Arabidopsis thaliana: one gene and its partners. The protein of the gene in region 1 purifies or fractionates together with the protein of each later gene. This does not show direct contact. Each region holds a gene or a part of one and is shown on either strand. Other genes may lie near its edges.

Evidence for each region.
Region 2: the proteins of AT1G20380 (region 1) and LIN2 fractionate together in Arabidopsis thaliana (co-fractionation; one large-scale study listed by BioGRID). This does not show direct contact.
Region 3: the proteins of AT1G20380 (region 1) and AT5G48480 fractionate together in Arabidopsis thaliana (co-fractionation; one large-scale study listed by BioGRID). This does not show direct contact.
Region 4: the proteins of AT1G20380 (region 1) and AAE13 fractionate together in Arabidopsis thaliana (co-fractionation; one large-scale study listed by BioGRID). This does not show direct contact.

What each region holds. Positions count from the first base shown.
Region 1 is NC_003070.9:7,059,549-7,065,756, forward strand, and holds AT1G20380 (Prolyl oligopeptidase family protein), read left to right. Parts: upstream 1-1,893; 5' UTR 1,894-2,116; coding exon 2,117-2,226; intron 2,227-2,595; coding exon 2,596-2,815; exon of another isoform or gene 2,816-2,887; coding exon 2,888-3,088; intron 3,089-3,168; coding exon 3,169-3,239; intron 3,240-3,351; coding exon 3,352-3,514; intron 3,515-3,646; coding exon 3,647-4,240; intron 4,241-4,329; coding exon 4,330-4,710; intron 4,711-4,792; coding exon 4,793-4,932; intron 4,933-5,012; coding exon 5,013-5,148; intron 5,149-5,234; coding exon 5,235-5,348; intron 5,349-5,433; coding exon 5,434-5,499; 3' UTR 5,500-5,694; downstream 5,695-6,208.
Region 2 is NC_003070.9:868,332-873,193, reverse strand, and holds LIN2 (Coproporphyrinogen III oxidase), read left to right. Parts: upstream 1-1,885; 5' UTR 1,886-2,018; coding exon 2,019-2,543; intron 2,544-2,622; coding exon 2,623-2,698; intron 2,699-2,786; coding exon 2,787-2,881; intron 2,882-2,966; coding exon 2,967-3,050; intron 3,051-3,231; coding exon 3,232-3,319; intron 3,320-3,411; coding exon 3,412-3,536; intron 3,537-3,641; coding exon 3,642-3,740; intron 3,741-3,823; coding exon 3,824-3,892; 3' UTR 3,893-4,341; downstream 4,342-4,862. Other genes in the region: NAC006 (NAC domain containing protein 6), read right to left, coding at 288-454, 512-749, 801-902, 982-1,320. UniProt on the Arabidopsis thaliana protein: Key enzyme in heme biosynthesis. Catalyzes the oxidative decarboxylation of propionic acid side chains of rings A and B of coproporphyrinogen III.
Region 3 is NC_003076.8:19,642,630-19,647,380, reverse strand, and holds AT5G48480 (Lactoylglutathione lyase / glyoxalase I family protein), read right to left. Parts: upstream 2,843-4,751; 5' UTR 2,568-2,842; coding exon 2,284-2,567; intron 1,940-2,283; coding exon 1,723-1,939; 3' UTR 1,065-1,722; coding exon of another isoform or gene 756-1,064; 3' UTR 541-755; downstream 1-540. Other genes in the region: DIR1 (Bifunctional inhibitor/lipid-transfer protein/seed storage 2S albumin superfamily protein), read left to right, coding at 756-1,064; AT5G48470 (uncharacterized protein), read right to left, coding at 3,254-3,298, 3,379-3,438, 3,539-3,604, 3,717-3,875, 3,970-4,113, 4,196-4,366, 4,464-4,532.
Region 4 is NC_003074.8:5,474,110-5,480,886, forward strand, and holds AAE13 (AMP-dependent synthetase and ligase family protein), read left to right. Parts: upstream 1-1,745; 5' UTR 1,746-1,943; coding exon 1,944-2,115; intron 2,116-2,360; coding exon 2,361-2,530; intron 2,531-2,643; coding exon 2,644-2,829; intron 2,830-3,150; coding exon 3,151-3,322; intron 3,323-3,448; coding exon 3,449-3,534; intron 3,535-3,659; coding exon 3,660-3,782; intron 3,783-3,894; coding exon 3,895-4,002; intron 4,003-4,388; coding exon 4,389-4,487; intron 4,488-4,619; coding exon 4,620-4,712; intron 4,713-4,832; coding exon 4,833-4,910; intron 4,911-5,032; coding exon 5,033-5,219; intron 5,220-5,314; coding exon 5,315-5,388; intron 5,389-5,529; coding exon 5,530-5,709; intron 5,710-5,805; coding exon 5,806-5,859; intron 5,860-5,974; coding exon 5,975-6,019; 3' UTR 6,020-6,240; downstream 6,241-6,777. Other genes in the region: AT3G16160 (Tesmin/TSO1-like CXC domain-containing protein), read right to left, coding at 1-228, 336-504, 642-737, 845-981; AT3G16175 (Thioesterase superfamily protein), read left to right, coding at 6,388-6,549, 6,656-6,777. UniProt on the Arabidopsis thaliana protein: Malonate--CoA ligase that catalyzes the formation of malonyl-CoA directly from malonate and CoA. May be required for the detoxification of malonate.

The DNA of each region.
Region 1 (6,208 bases):
CTTTTCTACAAATGTTGTAAATGGGTATTATGTAATGTATTCAACAATCTCACGATTTGTGACTTGTGAGGGACAACAGTTTGGATTTAATGAATATTCATGAATTATAGGGTTTACATAAAAGATTTTGGTAACCGTTCGATGATTTTCAAAGTCTTGTAAAGTTTGCTCTACATAATACTTCCACCTCTCTAGACGTTTTCTTAAGATGAAATCCGGGTTGCTACAGTTTTTGATACTAGTATTAATTAAAGTTTAAAATTCTCCTGACTGAAAAAAGTACTCAGTTTTAGCTATTACAACATTCTTAAATATAGACGAAAAACAAAACCAAAAAGAAATTAAGTTAAAGGCCACAATGTTAATCTGTGCATGAGATATTAATGCATTAGTTTTCATTCTAGACTTCTAGTTGAGTTGATTAAAAAATAATAATGAAAATTTGGTTTTAGAAAAGGTTATCGACTCTATCTATAATCTACAATAACTCATTTGTGGACTATCAAATTAAACTTCGTTGCGGCCTTGCGGGAGCAATCAAGCTTACATAGTTACATGGTTATCCGGAAAATGGGCTTCAATCAGGTATTATGTATGGGCTTCAAGCCCGACATACATACGCATCCTGATGAGTGATGACTGTACTATTCTAATTTTGTTGTTGTTGGGAATCATAGTTTGGTATATATCAGAAACTCTATTCATTATCCATAGGCTAGTAATGGTGTTATTTTAATAATGAAAATGGTTTTTAATAAATTTATTTCATTCAGAACAGTAATAATGGTTAGATATAAGAATTTGGTTGTCAGAATATTAGTTGTGCTAACTTTTTACAAAAATATTGTCCCATTCTTAATGTGTAATGGATGCCATGTATAACAACATTATTCTACATGCATTTATACTTTAATTCGATTTTTGTATACAAGAAGTACGAAAAGTATTCAATAAAGCATCAGAGGATATGCGAATCTATCACACGTGAAACTAAATTTGTCTTATCTGATGAATTTAGTGACTCTTAAGAAAAACTTGAAATACAAAAACAAATAAAAGTAGCTTACGAGACTATATCACTCGCCCACTCATCTAACATTATTTGAGATTGAAATCGCTTTATAGATTACTGGCTTAGACAAACATCAGTTAAGTGTATATATACTTGTGATTTATCATATGAGAAAAGAGAACAAACAAAACAACCATTTCCCCAAATTATACGATATAAAACTGAATAAATTTTTAGTTTTCCCCAAAAGAAACTGTGGATCGAATCAATAATAAAATAACCGATACAAAAATGGAAACCATTTAAAGATTACACAATGGACTAGTCTATAATAATGGGATTGGGGCGGCTAAACATAGCATAATATGGTTGAATGAATTTACTTTCTATTATAGTAGCAGGTTTCGGCTGACTCACTCTCACGACGATCATGGATTCGCTAGCTAGCTGGTTACCACATCCGTTGACTAGTCAACTGTGTTGACAGATGTTTTAGTTGGTTTTAGAGTCACCAGAAATCAAAGTGAAAAAAACCAATTTCTTTAACGACATAATATTAACTTTTACGTTTTAAGTCCTCTCTTATCCTTTTTTAAAAGTCCTATTTTAAGTACTTTCTATAATAGAATCTTCAAATTATCAAATACATTCTCTATACATGAATTTTTTTTGGTAATACAAGAAATCAACAATATCATACGAAACACAAATTTTATTTTCTTTGTACGAAACAAATGGAAGAATACAAGTATAGAAAATAAAATAAAAAGTGAAGATGCCATTTTGGTTTGAAAAACAAAAATGGTCCAAAAAAGAAGGTTAGTGTAAATTACAAAACTGATTAAAAATGGCAACATAACAAAACAATGTCGACAGATGCACGAAACTATTTCGACATAACGAGAGACTCAATGCATATCTGTCACGCGCGCTCTTAATTTCCATTTCTCCATGTTTCCTTTTTTTTTTTTAATGTCCCTATAAATACCCTATCAACACGGGTTATTATTTTTTCCGTTAGACTCCACAAAACTTAACGCCAACTACTTCGTCAAGTCTTTTTAGGTTTTCTTGTCGGAAATTTAAGGTTAGCTAATAGATAGAATGGGATCTCTCCCTGCGTTTGAAGAGCGGTTGCAGTATCCAACGGCGAGGCGTGATGAGTCCGTCGTTGAAGATTATCACGGCGTTAAAGTCTCCGATCCTTACCGCTGGTAAAAAGCGTTTACGTTCTCAGCTGTAACTAGCTACACTTGTTTGTTTGTTTGTTTTGTATGATAACGTTGTTGACATGTTGGTTGAGTTGACGGAGATTTTTATTACCGGAGAGCTTTCTGAAATTTCTGCTGTTTTATCGTAATGAAAGATTTTTAGCTCATGACCAATAGCATAACGAGCCTTTTTTGGACCAGCTCTATCGATTTTTTTTTGGCCCATTATTGATCTTACTGGACCAGTAGGCTAATTTCTGGACCAATTTTTGTTTGTTTGCTCATTAACTTTTTTGTGTCCCGGTTTGGTACAATCGTATATTGGTTTGGTTAGAATTCAGTTTAAGATAATTGATTCGGTTCTCTTGGTAGGTTGGAAGATCCTGACGCTGAAGAAGTGAAAGAATTTGTAGAGAAGCAAGTGCAATTGTCAGATTCAGTGCTCAAAAGTTGCGAAACGAAGGAAAAGCTTCATGACAAATTCACAAAGTTTATTGATTATCCTCGTTTCGATACGCCCTTTAAGCGAGGGAACAGCTACTTTTACTTCCATAACTCAGGTCTTCAAGCTCAGAGTGTGCTTCATGTTCAGGTAATTTGAAGCAGAGTATAATCTTCTTTAAGTGGGTTTTTGATTTGAATTTTTTTTTTTTTTCATTTGAAGGATGATTTGGAGTCTGAAGCAGAGATCTTGCTTGATCCTAATACTCTTAGTGATGATGGAACAGTTTCTTTAAACACTTTATCTATTAGTGAGGATGCTAAGTATTTGGCTTATGGCCTTAGCTCTAGTGGTAGTGATTGGGTTACTATTAAAGTGATGAAGATTGAAGATAAGAAAGTGGAACCTGATTCTTTATCTTGGGTAAGGCGTCTTCAAGTTGAATTACTCGTTAGTTTGAAGTTTCATTATTGACATTGACATGAAACTTGTTCTGAAATCAGGTTAAGTTTAGTGGGATCACATGGACACATGATGGGAAAGGTTTTTTCTACAGTCGCTATCCAGCTCCACGGTGAGTCTTTGGTTTAACTAACTGTGAAACTTTTTGGTGTAAAAGCTGAGGAATTTGTTTCAAAAGTTTGAGTTTTTATTACTGTTTTCTGATTTTGGTTTTGTTTCTGTAGAGAGGGAGAGAAGATAGATGCTGGTACAGAGACTAATTCTAACCTTTACCATGAGTTATACTACCATTTCCTTGGGACTGATCAATCCGAAGATGTTTTGTGTTGGAGAGACCAAGATAATCCCAAACATATGTTCGGATCCAAAGTCACTGATGATGGGAAGGTAAAAGCTAGCTCTTTTCTCATTTCTCTTGGTGATGGTTTCACTTAAAGTTAGTCTTATGATGCAGAAAGTCTAAGATTTGGGTTTGAGTTTTGATCCAACCATTATGTTATTTTTTCCTTTCCAATGCAGTACTTAATCATGTCAATTGAAGAAGGTTGTGACCCTGTAAACAAGGTTTATCATTGTGATCTCTCATTACTTCCTAAAGGTCTAGAAGGTTTTAGAGGAAGCAACACTTTACTTCCATTTGTTAAGCTTATTGACACTTTTGACGCACAATACATTGCTATCGCAAACGACGAGACATTGTTTACTTTCTTAACCAACAAAGATGCCCCAAAGTACAAAGTAGTTCGGGTTGACTTGAAGGAACCGAGCAGTTGGACTGATGTTATCGCTGAACATGAAAAGGATGTTCTCTCAACAGCTTCTGCAGTTAATGGAGACCAACTGGTTGTTAGCTACATGAGTGATGTAAAACACATCCTGCAGATTAGGGACTTGAAATCCGGTTCCTTGCTTCATGGATTACCTGTAGATATTGGCTCGGTATGTGGAGTTTTTGCTCGGCGTAAAGACACCACGTTTTTCTTTAGGTTCACAAGCTTCCTTACACCTGGCGTCATTTACATATGTGACTTATCCCATGAAGCTCCAGAAGTAACGGTATTTCGTGAAATCGGTGTACCTGGATTCGATAGAACTGCATTTCAAGTCACTCAGGTATGTATATGCTTTCTCCATTACAAAGTACTGAATCTGCAATACAAACATTATTTTTGAGTTCCTATTTTCATGATTATGTTTTATAGGTCTTTTATCCGAGTAAGGACGGAACAGATATACCGATGTTTATAGTGGCTAGAAAAGATATAAAGCTAGATGGATCACACCCATGTTTGCTCTATGCATATGGAGGGTTTAGCATAAGCATGACGCCGTTTTTCAGCGCGACCCGTATTGTGCTTGGTAGGCATCTTGGTACCGTGTTCTGTTTTGCAAACATCCGTGGTGGTGGTGAGTATGGTGAGGAATGGCATAAATCTGGTGCTCTTGCCAATAAGCAGAATTGCTTCGATGATTTCATCTCCGGGGCTGAGTATCTGGTTTCAGCTGGTTATACACAACCGAGGAAACTTTGTATCGAAGGTGGTAGTAACGGTGGTATTCTAGTAGGGGCTTGCATTAATCAGGTAAACAGAGTAGTAAATATTTAGCTCATGAAAATAGCAATCACATAGTTACATAATAAAAAATTTACACCTTTTACTGCAGAGACCGGATCTCTTTGGGTGTGCTCTGGCTCATGTTGGGGTCATGGACATGCTCCGGTTTCACAAGTTTACCATAGGACATGCTTGGACTTCTGAATTTGGTTGTTCTGACAAGGAAGAGGAGTTCCATTGGCTGATAAAGTAAGTCTTTTATTTAGGATCACCATAAAGCTTCTCTCTTTTGGTAGATTTATCTGATGGTTTTAATCTGTAAAAATAAGGTATTCGCCTCTGCATAATGTGAAGAGGCCATGGGAACAGAAGACAGATCTGTTTTTTCAGTACCCATCAACCATGTTGTTAACTGCTGATCATGACGATAGAGTCGTCCCACTTCATTCTTACAAGTTGCTTGCGGTTGGTCTCTCAACCTCTTGTTTGCATTTTGTATCTTCCTCTTCTTCTTCTTCATCTTCCATTGAAACCCGATTTCGCTTTCGCAGACAATGCAATATGAATTAGGTTTGAGTTTAGAGAATAGTCCACAGACGAACCCTATAATTGCTCGAATAGAAGTAAAAGCCGGGCATGGAGCAGGACGTCCAACGCAAAAGATGGTAACTATCTAAACATAAGACTTCTCTGTTAAATGTTTTTGTACAATATAAATGCTTGGAGTGTAATGTTTGTGAGCTGCAACAGATTGATGAAGCGGCTGATAGATATTCGTTCATGGCGAAGATGGTGGATGCTTCATGGATCGACTAGAATTTACACAAAGAGATTAGCTTTTCTTTCTTGTTATGTTTTAGAGAGAGCTACTATATTATAATTATACAGTCCCTCCTCTTTTATAAAGAAAATGTACTAGAGTAAAAGTATCTTTGAGTTTTAATCTAATCTCTAAATCCACGATATTATTGTCCAAGAGATTCAAAATCGTATGCATATGCGACATGGAAACTGTGTAGTTTATCGGAAACAACCTGTTGATACATCAATTGGGCCTCAGTGATCAACCGGCCCATTTCAAGGAATAACGACCCAGCCCGACCATCACTTTAGAACTCGAGCCGGCCCAGCAGGCCGAAGCCCGGCCTGGTCAGGATGTGAGTTCAGCTGCGTAGAAAAGGGGGGCACTCTTGGGAATTCACCTTGCGTACCCTACTATACGGACGGGTATAAATAAGGAATAGAAAGTCTCGGGAGAAGGGACGTTTTTCGGGACCTGGAGAAAGGATAGCACAAGTCAGCTCGCCCAGATCAGCCAGTTCGCCCGGAAGAGCCAGCTCATCGATACAAGTCAGCTCGTCGAGAGAAGTCTGCTCGTCAAGATCATCCAGCTCGCCCAGAAGAGCCAGCTCATCGATACAAGTCAGCTCGTCGAGAGAAGTCTGCTCGTCGAAGATCAGCCAGCTCGCCCAGAAGAGCCAGCTCACTAGAACCACCAGCTCGAAACGGCATCACCTCGTAGCGC
Region 2 (4,862 bases), 6.2 Mb from region 1:
TTTGAAAACCAAAAACATTACTTTTAAGTACACAATTGAAATTCATAGCTAAATAGTTAACATTACTGCTGCAACTCTATATTAATTGTAGAGTTATGGAAAAACAAAAGTACAAACTAAAATAAAGTTCGTTAAACTAGAATTTTACCCCGGAAAATCCACTATTTTTATGATATCTCCTTTACCGGAGTTACACAAATACACTAACCATATGTCTATAGTAATCTTTGTCACATATCAACTCAACCCACTAAAATATAATTCTATCCTCTCTGGTTTGTGTCGTATCATTTATCAACCCTAGTTAGATCAATAATCTCATAATTCCCCAATGCGAGGGCATCATTAGGATTGTTTATCAGTACCATCACATCATCTTTTTCTTGCTCTTGAGTAACGTCACAATCTTCTTGACGTTGTTGTTGTTGTTGTTGTTGTTGTTGTTGTTGAGTAACTTCGCGAGATTATTCTCCATCTAGCATCATCGTCTCAAGGTCATCATTAGCAAAACCGGTTAATTCAGCCTCTTCTGGCTGCTCACGATCTTCATGTCCCTCTAGCATCGTCTCAAGGCTATCAGCAAAACCGGTTAAATCAGCATCTTCTGGCTGCTCATGATCTTCTTGTCCCTCTAGCATCGTCTCAAGGCTATCAGCAAAACCGGTTAAATCAGCCTCTTCTTTCTGCTCACGGTCTTCTTGTCCCTCTAGCATCATCTCAAGCTGATCAGCAAAACCGGTTAAAGCATCCTCTTCTTACACTACTTGGTTCCGTAAGATGTTGTTGGTGTTCTCCGCCACCTGAGTCTGATGAGCCTGATGGTTAACGAGTCCAAACTCGTTGACGTTCGCCTCTTTCTTGTATCGGATCCGACACAAGACAACCTTTTGGAGGTCATCACTCTAGTGAAGAGAATACTCCATCTTCTGTCAATCGGTCTTGACAAGCTTTCCATGCACTCTCCTGTGGTACGTGAAAGACTGCTCGTAACCCATCACCCTTTTGCATGTGTCCGTCCTTGATCTCTTTTTTCCCATCGTTGCTTCTCCAAGTGCCGCCTTCGCTTCCTCCTCTTGCGGCTACCTTCCGGTGTACGCTTAATATCTTGCCACCTCGTTCAGTAAGCGGAACAAAGTAGTACCACTCGTTGTTATTGAACAAAGGATTGTTTACGTGAGGAAGAAGCCAAGGGTAGTCTTGGTGGATGTCCATAGTTGTTATGAAACTGCTCTGATTTCTCTCCACCTTGTTTCGAAGATAAAGCCTCACCAACCCTAGATCCGTCGGACAAAACCGTGATCCAACCGGAAGAATCTTCATATCGATCGTATAGATTCGAAGAAGAACTAGCTAAGGTACCTATATAATTGCTAAGGTTAAAAGTGCTCTTTCGTCTCTTGTGTAATACTGCTCTGTGAAGCAGGGTTTTCTTGAATTCCTCGCAGGTCAAGCGGCTGAACTCTCTATATGATCATGAATATATAGACAACGTGATGGGCCCAACCGGATTTTCTTTTGTCAGCGATTAACTATTTTTTGGAAAGAATAAGACGGTTGTAATTACATCTATTTGGTTATTTGAAATAATAATTAGATAGGATTCGAATCTATAATACACTTTTGTTTTGTTTATCACAGATTCTAACGATAGATAAAGATATATTACATGACCATGATTTATCCACATCAAAATAGCATAGTGCCGTAAACCGGCTAATCGTTTTGGGCCTAATTTGGGCAATTAAGCCCGTTAAGAAGGATAAGAGCCTATTGTGTATCAATATCTTCGGTTCGACCAAATTAAACCGCAATTTTAATTTCGTGTCTGGTTTGGTTTCGGCTAAATAATTCAGAAGTGGTTTAGTCTGAGAAGACTGGAACTGTGTTTTCTTTTACCTTGAGCTGTTAAATAAAAAGGAAGAGCGGTCAAAATCAGTGGACGACGAAGACTTCTTATCATTTAATATCTCTCCATCATCATCTTCTTCTTCAGCATCAAATCCAAATTCGGATCAAACATGGCTTCTCACTCGTCGACTCTCCTCTCTTCTCCTACTTTCGCTCCTTTCTCCTCTCATCGTCTTCATTATTCTCCCAATCCCTCTACTCTCAGATTCTCCCGTCCAATCAGAAATAAACCTAATCTCGCCTTGCGATGTTCAGTCTCAATTGAGAAAGAAGTTCCCGAAACTGAACGACCCTTTACTTTCCTTAGGGATTCTGATGACGTCACTCCATCTTCTTCTTCTTCTTCCGTCAGGGCTCGTTTCGAGACTATGATTAGGGCTGCTCAAGACAGTGTTTGTGATGCAATTGAAGCTATAGAAGGCGGTCCTAAGTTTAAAGAAGATGTTTGGTCTCGACCTGGTGGTGGCGGTGGAATCAGTCGTGTGTTGCAGGACGGGAATGTCTTTGAGAAAGCTGGTGTTAATGTCTCTGTGGTTTATGGTGTTATGCCTCCTGAAGCTTATAGAGCTGCAAAGGGCTCAGCTTCTGATCAGAAACCTGGTCCTGTTCCGTTCTTCGCTGCTGGAGTCAGCTCGGTAATGAATCTCTCCCTTCAATTTTACGATTCTTGGAGGTTCTCATGTTTTATCATTACGGATTTCTGTGTGATTCTAGGTTTTGCATCCCAAGAACCCTTTTGCCCCAACCCTGCATTTCAATTATCGCTATTTCGAGACAGATGCTCCAAAGGGTAAAAAAGCTAAAGTCTCAGTGAGATTGTAAAGTTGTTGTCTTTTGTTTGGACAACAGTCTTAAGTTTTTAATTTTCAACGGCGCAGATGTTCCTGGAGCTCCAAGGCAATGGTGGTTTGGTGGTGGCACTGATTTCACTCCTGCTTACATCTTTGAAGAAGATGTCAAGCATTTCCATTCGGTACTGAGCCTTATTCCTTGTTCTAAAGATATGAGCTTTGTGATCATGGAGTTGCTTTTATATAAACTGCTCTTTGTTGTTGTAGATTCAAAAGCAAGCCTGTGACAAATTTGACCCTTCCTTCTATCCCCGATTCAAGAAGTGGTGTGATGACTACTTTTACATCAAGGTAAGTTTTGTGAGATCCTGAAGCATTTTCTGGAACTGAGGGCCTTATTCTTTGAGTTGTGTTTAGGGATGTTATAGTCAAATCTGAGAGGGTAGAAACTGCTTAGAGAGACGTTCAGAAGCCTATTGTTAGTGTGAGGGCTTTGAAAACTTTTCTTAGAAATCTTTGATTTTGCTTGCAGCACCGTGATGAGAGACGAGGACTTGGAGGGATATTTTTTGATGATCTTAATGACTATGATCAGGAAATGCTTCTGTCATTTGCCACTGGTAAGGGACTGATTGTCCTCAATCTACAACAAACGATTTATTTTAATTGGTCTAGTTTCTTGGTAGACTAATTTAGCAATTGGTGTTTACAGAATGCGCAAACTCAGTGGTGCCGGCTTATATACCTATAGTAGAGAAAAGGAAAGACATGGAATTTACAGAGCAGCACAAGGCATGGCAACAGTTGCGACGAGGGCGATATGTCGAATTCAACTTGGTACTATGACCAAAACATTAGTCTTTTTCTCTGTTCTCACTCTCATCTCTCCAATCTTTCGTTATGAACCTTGTTCACTAATGTATTTGTAATGATGGATGGAAGGTATATGATCGGGGAACGACATTTGGTCTGAAGACAGGAGGACGAATAGAGAGCATTCTCGTCTCTCTTCCGCTTTCAGCAAGATGGGAATATGACCATGTAAGTTCTTTCCTCATTTGTGAAGAAACTTGGTCTAAATTCAATTGAATATGGCAATGTAGTAATGGTGTTTGTGAGTGCAGAAACCGGAAGAGGGGACCGAAGAGTGGAAGCTATTGGATGCTTGCATCAACCCGAAGGAGTGGATCTAGCCTGTGTTTCCCATTGTTGTGAGAAGAGTGAGTTTATTTCCATTGTTTCATGTAAGTTTTGAGCAGCTTTAGAGGATTAGATAACTGGAGAGATGGAGAAAGAGAGTGTGTAAGGTCAGGTCAAAATCTAGTCTTGTGATGTGCATGTTAACATCATCTCCTTTCTCTCTTTGCGATGGCAATGAAGACAAACTAAGAGCAGTGTTGTTAAAAGTCAAAACTTACCAATGCAAACAGTTGGTTTCTTGCAAGTTTTGAGCAGCTTTAGAGGATTAGATTACTGAAAAGAAAGTTATACTCTAGCCTTGTGATGTGCATGTTAACATGCGTCTGTTACGCTGTCGTTTCGTTTCTTTCTTTTGCCAATGGCAACGAAGACAACTTGTGCATTCAACTTTTTCACAAGTGACATGCTTATCTACGGACTCTAATCCAAATCCATATCCTCCTTAAGAACCCAAAACAAAAACTTATTGCTCAAAGTGTTGAAATCTGAGCTTTTCCAAAGAGAAGAAACAGTGATCAGCCCAGCCTAATGTAAGCCATTAGGCCTCTTAGTATTTTTTTTTTTTTTTTTTTTTGTCATCAAGCCTCTTAGTGTTAGCTGTCATAATTTCCTTTTTTTTTCATCTCTCTCGTTATTACGCCCTGAATCATTTAATAATCCCCAAATAAAGCAATAAATTTCTATTTTTTGTTTGTTTGTACAGAATTCTATGCAAATCAGTGTATTTTTTTTATGTAGAAATAGTGCTTAACGCCTGTAAGTGTTAATCAATACTTTAATCTATAAATAGGGTACAAATTTAAAATTATTCAAAGACAATAACATCCTTAAAAAGAAAAAAAATAGATTCACTTGTCTTATTGTAAAAAGAGCTAATAATGAAACAAAGCCAAATGAAGAACTAAATATGAGGTTCATCAATTTTTTATATTTACTTTAATATTTTATTTTTCCCGACTACTT
Region 3 (4,751 bases), on another chromosome or scaffold:
AAACAGTAATTGTAGTTGAAAAACGATTAGATGGTGAAAAAGTATCAACTATAAAAATACATATATTAAATCCACTAAACCATTTCGTAGACCAAATAATCATCTCGTATGTGCCATGCTTATGAGTTTATCACTAATTACACTAATAGGACTGAAATTCTCAAAGAAAATAAAACATTTATTTGAAAATAGAACAGCAAAAAAATTGAGAATCTAGAGATTTGGATTTATTCTTCGTTCTATATTTTGTCCCGTTTATATACTAACTGATGTTCTCATTTGTTTTGTGGTTAAAGTAGCTAACTGTTGTTGACACTTAACAGTAATACTCGCTAACTGTTTTATTTTCGTAATTTGTGAAACTTCTTAGAGTACTCTTACTTGGGCTCATATCAGGCCCAGTATTTTGCGGATGTTTATTAATGTGTTTTTTTTCGATTAAAAGAGAATTTTATATACAAATACAATGTGCAAGTTGAATTTTCTTTTTCCATTTGTAGTAAAAGATTTGTGGACTGGAAATTGTGTAATCGATACTTGATAATTGATAAGAATCCGAAAGCTTATGATTCTATGACAAAAGACCCTCTCCCAAAAGTAAAGTGGAAAAACACATCCCCGTGACTATATGGAGCAATCCAATCTGGTTCACGGGTTTCTCTAAAACTTGATATATATACACCTTCTCATGCACATTCATTTCAACACCACAAACACAAACAAACATATAGAAAAAGAGAGAGGAGGATAATAATATGGCGAGCAAGAAAGCAGCTATGGTTATGATGGCGATGATCGTGATAATGGCTATGTTGGTCGATACATCAGTAGCGATAGATCTCTGCGGCATGAGCCAGGATGAGTTGAATGAGTGCAAACCAGCGGTTAGCAAGGAGAATCCGACGAGCCCATCACAGCCTTGCTGCACCGCTCTGCAACACGCTGATTTTGCATGTCTTTGTGGTTACAAGAACTCTCCATGGCTCGGTTCTTTCGGTGTTGATCCTGAACTCGCTTCTGCTCTCCCCAAACAGTGTGGTCTAGCCAACGCCCCAACTTGTTAAAAGACTCTGTATACGTGTGTTTATGTTTTTTATTACTCCTATTCTAAATATCGGATGTTATTAATAAATCGTATTTTCTGCCAAATGGCGTTTATGGGTTAACCCCAAAAACTGGTCAAAAGAAAAGAAAGAGGACCAATCGAAAACTACACAAGGCCCAAACACGGAAGGGCAATTTCGAAAAATATGTAACCAATAAGCGATAGAGAGAAACCACAAAGCACAAATACAGAGGTTTATGGTTTCACTACCTCTGACACAGTATTCAACACTCTGACACCAAAACAACAAATATTCTTAATTCCGTCTTATCTAATCACTAACCATTTCATTTTCATTCCAAATAGACGATTATACCCTTAGTACTAAACCAACAAAAATGACAAAGAACACAGATTAAACACAGAACGATTATAGAAGATAGATAGAGAAGCGAAATCATCAACAAAACATAATATAGCCCGAGATTAATATGCAATTTCACCAAGATTAGAGTTTGTCAAAAGGGGTGAAATTAGAATCCGAAAGTCATTAGCCTACTCGATCCGGTTTACTGATTACCGGATTCCACAAAAGACAAAATAAAAGCATAAACCTAGGATAATAGATAGTTTTTTTTGTTCAGAAACCGACGAAGAATTAGATCCGACGACAGATTCTAAACCTCTTTGTTCTCGTCGGTGATCACGGTCTTCTTCTCCGCGAAGATCCAAGTGACACCAAAAGGATCCGTAACTTTTCCTTTGAATCCCAGTTCAACTTCTGCCTCCGTAACCTCCACTTTCACAGCTCCGGCGTCAACAGCTTTCGCAACGGCGGCTTCAGCATCCTTAGTTCCGAGAAGAAAAGTCACTCCCGAACCTTCCGATTTCGCACTGTTTAACGATTTAAAAAAGAAACAAAACCACATAAGTAAACAGTAATCGTATTTAAGAAAAGGCACAATCATCCACTTAAAATAGTTTTTTAAGCGTTATAAAAGTTTCCAAAAACTATTCATTTCAAAAACCTAAATCCAGATCTAAAACGAACAAAAAAATCGTGTTTAAGGGAGAGGAATAACTTCTAAACATGATTTATTCTCCAGATTTCTTCTAATAAAACAACCTAAAACCAGATCTAAAACGAAATCAAACACTAAACGAACAAAAACCTAAAAAAAAAACAGAAAACATGGAGATCTAGAAGCTAAACACCAAAACGAGAGAGAGAGACTTACGTAGAAAAACCAGGGAGAGAGGAAACGTCGCAAACAACGAAGGAAGAGCCAGCGAGATTAAGCTCAGAAGAGAGAACATGAGGAAGCTCTTGGTCAAGCTTACGCTTAGGGTAAAGAGAATGACCAGACTCGATCGCACCAAAAGCAGATTTGTAGAAAGTAACAGCGTCACCGACCTTTTGAGCTTCAACGAGCAACATCTGCTTGAACTCAGTGAAGACAAGATGCGTCTCCACCGGACCAGCACCGTTAGTAGCAACAGCAGTAACATCTTCTTGAGCCATCGCAGAGAGAAAATAAAACTTTGAGAAGAGAGATTCGTTTACGGTTAAGAGAGAAATGAAAATTGCGTGTGAAAGAACAATCTAGAGACGATGAGTGAGATATTTATGAAGGAAGCGGAGAAGCGGAATCGTTTCGTGTAACCTGACGAGGATTTCAAATGGATATAACAATTGCTCTCACGTCCGTGGATTTTTACCCTTACTTTTTGATTTATTTACGTGAATATGCCCCTACTAATCACTTTTCATTTACTACCCTATAGGACTCGTGTCTCGTTCGCATGTCTCCTCTATTAAACCGTTGGAAAGAAATCAATTAAAATTGGTTACTCGAATATTTTAATCTTTGTTATATACTGTGTCATCAAATATTTTAGTTTGTTATCATTGTGTAACTCTGAATGGTACACATAGGACAAAAGTTACGATTTTATTTTTTCCCATCCGTTTCGAATGGGTTTAAAGATATGTTAATATCACTACCATTATTCTTTTTTTTCTTCTATCCCTTTCCAATTTTATTTTACGTCACATGTAACTTTTGAGGTTTAATGGATGTGCATAGTTTAGTAGAGAGACATTATATGTCATATCAACCAACCAAATTACAAATTATATACCGATCAAGATTATTTCAGGACGCAATCTCTACCTGCGAGTCTTTCTTGATGTAACAAAAGATATTACTAATAAGCGATTTCTTCAAGAACTTGGAGGGTTTTTTGGTGAACCTGTGAACAGAAATAAACTATGATGAATGCAAAGAAACGAGACTTTGGTTGCAAATGTTTTGGTGTTATGAGGAACTTACCCATTCTAGATGTTGTGCTGTTATCCCGGAGGCATTACCCGAGTATATACTTCCCAGTACCTATCAAGATTGGATTTAAACATCACATAAAAAAGTGGTCAATGTTCTCTATTACTATCATCTGTTGAACATAGGGGATCGAGGAATGTTGGAAACATACCTTTGTGACAGTTTCTAGAAACATTCCTGGTCTTACTGGTAACGGTTTTCTTCCTGTAACGCTTCCCTGAGATCGCATCAAGTAGGCCAAGTAAGAAAAGAAGACATATCTTTGGTTCAGAGCCTACTGAAAAAGTCTTCTCTTTTAACAAAACAATGTGTCACTTGATCATACTTACCCTTCCATTTAATCCACTTGGTTTTCTTCCTTCGGTAGAAGAATCGTCTTCTTTGCTAAGATTATCTGCGCCTTCATCTTTCCCTTGCATTACATTCTGGATCATCTGCTGCACAGTCTTTCCAGGTTTCAAAGCTACCAATTTGGCTAAGAAATTCACCTGTTTGACGATCAAGCAACAAGTCACTGTATCTCAATGTTTAAAAAATGTTCACAAACACAGCATCATGGACATAATAGTTTGTCACACAAACCTCTGATTCAGGAAGAGTAGTGAAACCTCGGTCATTTCTTTCATCAAGTATACCTCCTCCCATCATGTTCCGGGCTTCCTCTCTAATCAAAACAAGCCTCGCTAGTAGTTTTCGATCCGGAATAGCTGGCCTTGTTTCCATAGTCTGCAAAAATCCTCAGACTTGTTCACATTCTCAAACTATCTCAAATACAGATTGATATCTATACTTAAACAAACACAAGTACCTCTAGCAAGTCATCAGCTTGATTAGCTATGTCATTCAGATTTGCTCCGGGTATATGAAGTTTAGTACCGTTCTCACTTTCAAAAGCCCCACCACCTGCAGCCACCCTACGCAGAAGCTCATGTCTACTTTCCTTTTTCGGGGTTCTACAGAGTAAACCAATCACCTGGACCTAAATATGGAGCAACACTTACACAAAATTAAAAACATGAAATGAAGCTAATGAAAAATTTAGAAAGTAAGAAGAAACTAATCTTAATATTACTCACATGAGGAGGGCATTTCTTGGTGAGATGAGATAAGACAGTCTCCTTGACGACCTCTAGTAAAGACTTTCTCTGAATCCAAAACAAAAATTCTTTAATCCTTTGTCCCAGCTTATGCTACAGAACTAATGGCAAGACTAACAACAGCCATAAAATCCAGAGAACATGTAATATTTGCTACACTACATTGCAAAAGCAATTCTAGCTATCCTGGTCGTTCTATGTAGCAAAACTCAAGTCAATTCTAGAAATATTTTTGTGTACATTCAGAGGGAAAATGCAGAATTGGTT
Region 4 (6,777 bases), on another chromosome or scaffold:
AGTTAGCTCTCGGTCTCTTCTCCTCCGGTATACTTGTGGGGAATTGTGAGCAGAAAATGCAGGAGGCTGGAACGCTTCACTAACATTCTTGCAGTTGATGCATTTACAGTTGTCTGAGCACAGAAGATTAGCCTGAAAGCACTCACAGTACTTCTTCAAACACCTGGTTCTTTTACATTTGCAGCCTCTCGAAAGCAGTCCAGGTTTAGTATCAGGTGCAGCCTTACACTACAATACAAAACACAGAACATCCCAGATACTTACAAATGAAAAAGGATGTGAAATATACCTCTTTGAAGCTTAACCTACAAAAGTGATAGGTGTCAAGAACATACCTGATTATCAGTTAGGCTACCTAAAGCCTTTTCACTGAAGGCATTTGGGTTGCGACCTAGTACATTCACCATAGCTGCTTCTCTAGCATCACATTTCTCAGAGTTGTTATGACAATCAACACAATCACAGTCTGTACATACCACTCCTGATGCAAAACAGTCACAGTACCTAATAACCAAGCGTCAAACAAATATCCAATAATGCATCAATCTACAGCAGATAATAGAAATCTCACTATTCAACATTATACTCAAATCTCTATCAGCTTAACACTAAGTAATTCTTGGATCCTGAAATGAACTTACAACTTTAAACATTTGGACTGCTTGCATCGACATCCTTTGTGTTTCCTCGAAGTAATGCCTTCTTCATCTGTCTTATCCTTTGCTTCTGAATGCTCTCTGCTTCAAAATCAAGACCAGTGGAGATCAGAGAGTAGATTTTGGATTGAAATTACTCAAACGAGAAGCATCTCTAGTGAAAATTGGCAGAGAAACTGGAACAATACCGAGAAATCGGAGGAAAAAGAGGAAGTTCTTTAACAGGAGATTCTCGGAAGACGGGAGATACCTCCAATTTGGTGAAAACGAGCTTCCTAGGGTCTTTCTCTGTCGCGATTTTGCCGGAATCTGCGTTTCCTGTCATATCGGTCCTTGACACATTATAGTCGCCACACAAGTTAGTTCCTCAATTTGGCGAACCGATTAGAGCATGAACGGTGAGGAATCCTCAGAGAAGCGTCGATTCATAGATCAGATCAGATCAGTGTATCGGAGAGTCGCCATGGCTGACAGATATCAGAACAAAAATGGAATGCTGGATCCTAATTCGGAACGATGAATGATTGTCTCTCTCTCGATTTTTTTTTTGGCCAGCTCCAAGGGGTTTTCTAAGAAACAAAAAGGTTCTGTGAACAACGCGAAGGTATTCAAAAGCGAGAGAGAGTGATCTTGGAGGGAATGATGATGTGTTGATGACGAAGATGGAGTTGGATTAAAGAAATCTAATTTCATGATTAATAATTTAATATAACAAAATTAGTCTTCTCCAATGCTCAAACCGGAGACCTAAGATGTACACTCCCTTTAAAAGGTACTGATAAAAAAAAAGTTATTAATTGCATGTTGGCATTAAATAGAATCTTCCTCTAGAGTTCAAAACTTCACAATAATAAAATCAATGCATATCAAAGCATATGTATAAGATGTTAGCTAACCACAATTGTTATTCATCAACGGTCAGGATCACATCACTCAAAATGCAATATTCAGATGGTCTTTAATTTTGTGTAAATATACTTAGAAAGAAATTCACAACACAAATAAATGAGAAAAAGCAAATCAGTAATTAACCTTAAAAAAATGCCTAATAAAGCGTCATTAAAGAATAACCCATTATCGCCTGTCACTCACTTTTAATCATCAAAACACGCCACGTGCCAAACTCTCCACTGAATCAAAGTCGCCAAACGCTTCAGTCGCTATTTCATGATCGACACGAAGGCTCTCTTTTGGCGATTGCAACCACCACCTAAGAAGAACGGCTACGTAATTTGACTGTACGACTTGCGAAAAAAGTCGAAACCTTTTAACGAACCAGACCTAAAAATGACCGCTACGACAACATTAAAGAGTTTCAACTACTTGTCTTTAATTAACCATCGACTCAACCACAACTCCTACGCTATTCTCTCCTCTCCTCTTCTTCCTCGATCCCACCCAGCTTCTACTTCGTTTTCCAATTCTGGGTTTCGATTCTTCCAATCTAACCATCTCTTCTGTAAGTTTTCTTCTTTACCTTTGTTTGGTTTTTGCATGTTACATGTTCGACGAAATGTCTTAAAGATTCGTGCTTTCCATATAGTAACATTGATGATCCGTAAAAACCTGAACAAGTTGTTGTTTTGATCTGAATTTATATTGAAAATTTTGCAGCATCTCCAAGGAACTCAATCTGTTCTTTTTTTGTACATGTAGTTTCTATATATTAATCTGAATTTTATCTATGTAATCAAAATGTTGCAGCTTCACAGTCTGGTTCACTCATGGAAGTGTTTAAAGCAGCTTTTTCAGAAGCGTCTAATTCTTGTGATAGGATTGCGATTAAAGCCGATGGAAAGAGTTACTCTTATGGCCAGCTAACATCGTCTGCTTTGAGGATATCTAAATTGTTCTTAAAAGATGATACGACAAATGTATGGTTTTTGGTTTGAAATTGTAGCTACTATATCTACTACTTGAAGCTATCACACAGTTTGTTTACAGCTTTATGGTTATTGACTTTTTTTGTCTTCTATAAATTTCGTAGGGAGGTCAAGAAACTAAGAAGTATGAAGGGTTTGGTAGTCTAAAAGGAGCTAGAATCGGAATTGTGGCAAAACCTTCAGCTGAGTTTGTTGCAGGAGTCCTGGGGACATGGTTTAGCGGTGGTGTAGCGGTTCCACTTGCACTCAGCTATCCTGAGGCTGAACTCTTACATGTCATGAATGATTCGGTATGGAATCTACTTGCCTTCCTATTTCCTTGTGCTTTAATTTCGGCTCAATTGTTAGGTATTCTTGATCTTATTTTTGTGATCTCAGAATTTTGATCCAAGCTCTTGGTTTTTCTAGCATTAGGTCTTTTTCCATAGACTAAAAAGGGTACTCTGTAGAACAAAGTAGAAAATATTCTAAAAGGCAGAAGTTTTCTGGTTTGCTCTGTTTTCTACCACATTCAAGTTTCACAAAATAAGTGTGCCTTATGCTCTTTTTACTCTCGAGAAAAAATGATTAACATTTTCTTGGGATCTAACCTCGTTGTCTTCGGTTTCTAGGATATATCTCTGTTATTGAGCACAGAGGACCATAGTGAAACTATGAAAACCATCGCAGCAAAGAGTGGTGCTCGATTTCATCTTATTCCTCCTGTTGTTAACTCAACTTCGGAAACTGTTGCTTGCAATCAGTTTCAGGATGACAGTTTTGAAGCAGAAGGAAAGTTTCTAGGTAAGTTTTTGAATATACTTGAGATGGTGAACTTATAATGAAGGCTGCTCTTTTAATTTTTGCCACCTTACCTCAAGCAATTATTGGTCTGGATTTTCTGCATCACTTCAGCCTTTATTTGTGCAGATGATCCAGCATTGATCGTCTACACTAGTGGTACAACTGGTAAGCCAAAAGGAGTTGTTCATACTCACAACAGCATCAATTCCCAGGTATATATCCGACCTCCTTATGTAGCGCATGTCATGTTTCAAATCTACCCAACCTGCAATAGAATGGTCTGCATGTATCTAAATTATGATGTACCTTATAAGCTAGAAGCTTGTATATGTTGCAGGTTAGAATGCTCACTGAAGCTTGGGAGTACACATCTGCTGATCATTTTCTCCACTGCCTCCCACTACATCATGTTCATGGGCTTTTCAACGCTTTATTTGCTCCTCTTTACGCACGGTCTTTGGTAACTTATACTATTGAGATTTGCTTTGGCTAGCTCTTTCAAAATACATTACCTTCGGAAAACATCAGGCTAGTTTTAGGTTTTTAATTGATTTTCACATTCCTTTTTCAAGGTGGAGTTTTTGCCCAAATTTAGTGTTAGTGGAATCTGGCGTAGATGGCGTGAATCATATCCGGTGAATGATGAAAAAACCAACGACTCCATAACTGTATTTACTGGAGTAAGTCTTATTTTTTGTTACTTGTATTCCAGACAAATAATACTAGTTTATGCTTAGCTGTCCCTGCCTCAAGTTAATTGTTTGATTTCTTGTTGCATAATCCTTTTCTTAAGCCTGATATAGCAAGCTTATTAATTGTTTCTAGTGTTAGTTAGTATTTGAATTGAGGGAAGTATTCACTATTCAATGTGAGTTTACTCAATTTTACTATGTAACAAAATGATAGTCTTGGCTGAGTTGATCAGTTTCCAGTTTGCTTCTTGCGCTCTAGATATATAAACAAACATGCTTTGCTTTAGAGAAATTTAGCCTGAGATGAGAAATAGAAAGAAACAGCGAGAGATTTAGCTATTTTTAATTGGTAAAGTTATTGTTGCGATACACAGGTTCCAACCATGTACACTCGGTTGATACAAGGTTATGAAGCAATGGATAAAGAGATGCAGGACTCGAGCGCTTTTGCTGCACGGAAGCTTCGCCTAATGGTAAGCAACCAAATATCTCCTAGAAGAGCCAATCCAGCTTAATGTTTATCATTATCTGCCTAGATAGCTATGCTATTTTCATATTCTGATGAAACTAGTGCTTAAATGTTAGCCAATGAAATACATTTTCAGATGTCTGGCTCCTCTGCTCTCCCTCGACCTGTCATGCATCAATGGGAAAGTATCACAGGTCATCGTCTTTTGGAAAGATATGGCATGACTGAGGTAAGTAGATTTTCCTGTCTCTTTGAGTTACCATAATCAATACCTTAGAACAAGCTTAACACAAGCTTGTTCTTAGTAGTTACATCTACTGAATTAAAAAAAAATCTTCAATATTCCCAGTTTGTAATGGCAATGTCAAACCCCTTACGGGGTGCACGAAATGCAGGTACTGTCGGCAAACCGCTTCCTGGTGTGGAGGTCAGTGACATCTTCTTTCTCTTTCGTCCTCACTCAATACCTTTTAACTAATGCTACACAGATTAAGTACTAGTAATACTGTGACATGAAGTTATGATACTGAAAAAGTGTAAACATGATAGGCTAAAATAAAAGAAGATGAAAATGACGCAAATGGAGTGGGTGAGATATGTGTTAAAAGCCCATCTTTGTTCAAGGAGTACTGGAATCTTCCAGAGGTGACTAAAGAATCATTTACGGAAGATGGATACTTCAAGACGGGAGATGCTGGAAGAGTGGATGAGGATGGATATTACGTGATTCTAGGACGTAAGCAGAACCTATAAGTACATTCAAACACAATTTAAAAGTACTTTGTGTTCCTTCATTTAACATCTTATCTTATCTTCTCTGGTGTCGATCAGGTAATAGCGCTGACATTATGAAGGTTGGAGGATACAAGTTATCTGCCTTAGAAATCGAATCAACCCTTCTCGAGGTAACATTAACATCCATTTGAGTTTTTTTTTGGCTCTGTGAAGCTATCAGAAGCTTTTATCTCCTTGGGAAATAGGCTTTAGATAACTGAACCGAGAGAACTTAATCGTTGTATGATATCTCTGGGGGATGTGTTATGCAGCACCCTACTGTTGCAGAATGTTGCGTGTTGGGGTTAACAGACAACGACTATGGAGAAGCCGTGACTGCGATAATTATAGCAGAGAGTGCAGCAAAGAAGAGAAGAGAGGATGAGTCAAAACCTGTAATAACCTTAGAAGAACTGTGCGGTTGGGCTAAAGACAAGCTTGCTCCTTACAAGGTACTAAAAATCTGCCAAAGTGTTGTCAAAACGCGCAACAGTCTTGTCAATCTTTTTTTCTTTTTTTTTCTTGTCCATAATATTCTGTCTTTTCAGCTACCAACAAGATTGCTGATATGGGAGAGCTTGCCTCGCAACGCCATGGGAAAGGTAGCTATATTTCTCTCAAATTTTTTCTTTTTTCTTGAATGATATCAGAGATAGTTGTTTTGTTGTAACCAATAAGAATCATTCTCAGTGTATGAGTATTTTTTTCGAGTTGCAGGTGAACAAAAAAGAGCTAAAGAAATCTCTGGAAAATCAAGAATAAAGACAACCATGGATTTCATTGCTACTCCTTGTTCTTTTGATTATATGACACGTATGCATAAAATGTAATTTCCTTCTTTCCTGTATCATGTACTTTGACTCAATAATGTCAAGAATCAATACCAAATTAACTATTTGAGAAGTAAATCTTTGTTATATACTATTTCTTTGTTTAGTGTGAAGAACAACAAAATTGTATAGTGTGAAAGAAGGAAAGTTGACCATAGTCTTTGACTCTTTGATGCTAAATCAGTAATCATTCCAAAAGGGTATAATGGTAATTAACTATGATGATCCGATAACCATATATTCCCACACGCAAGTTTGTTTTGTAACGAGAACGTAAAAAGACGAAGAAGAAGGGACAGTATGGTAGATCCAACGATCCATAACACGACGACGTATCTCGAAGAGATAGCAAAAGGAAACGGGCAAACCGAGTTCGAGATTTTAATCTTGAAAGGCTTAGAACTCATCCATGTCGGGAAAGGGATCTTACGTTGTAAATTACTTGTCACAGATCATGTCGTGGTAATAAAATTTACTTAATCCAACGAATCTAGTTTTAAGCTTCCTTTTTTGTGTTTTTGATTGGTGAACGTTATTATTACTAAACAATGCGAAAGATGATTCTCAGGGAGAAGATGGAAGTTGGAATGCGGGAGTGATTACGGCGGTGATGGACTCGATCGGAGCGTCAGCTGTGTACTCCTCCGGCGGCGGACTCCATATCTCTGTTGATCTCAACTCTTCGTTTTA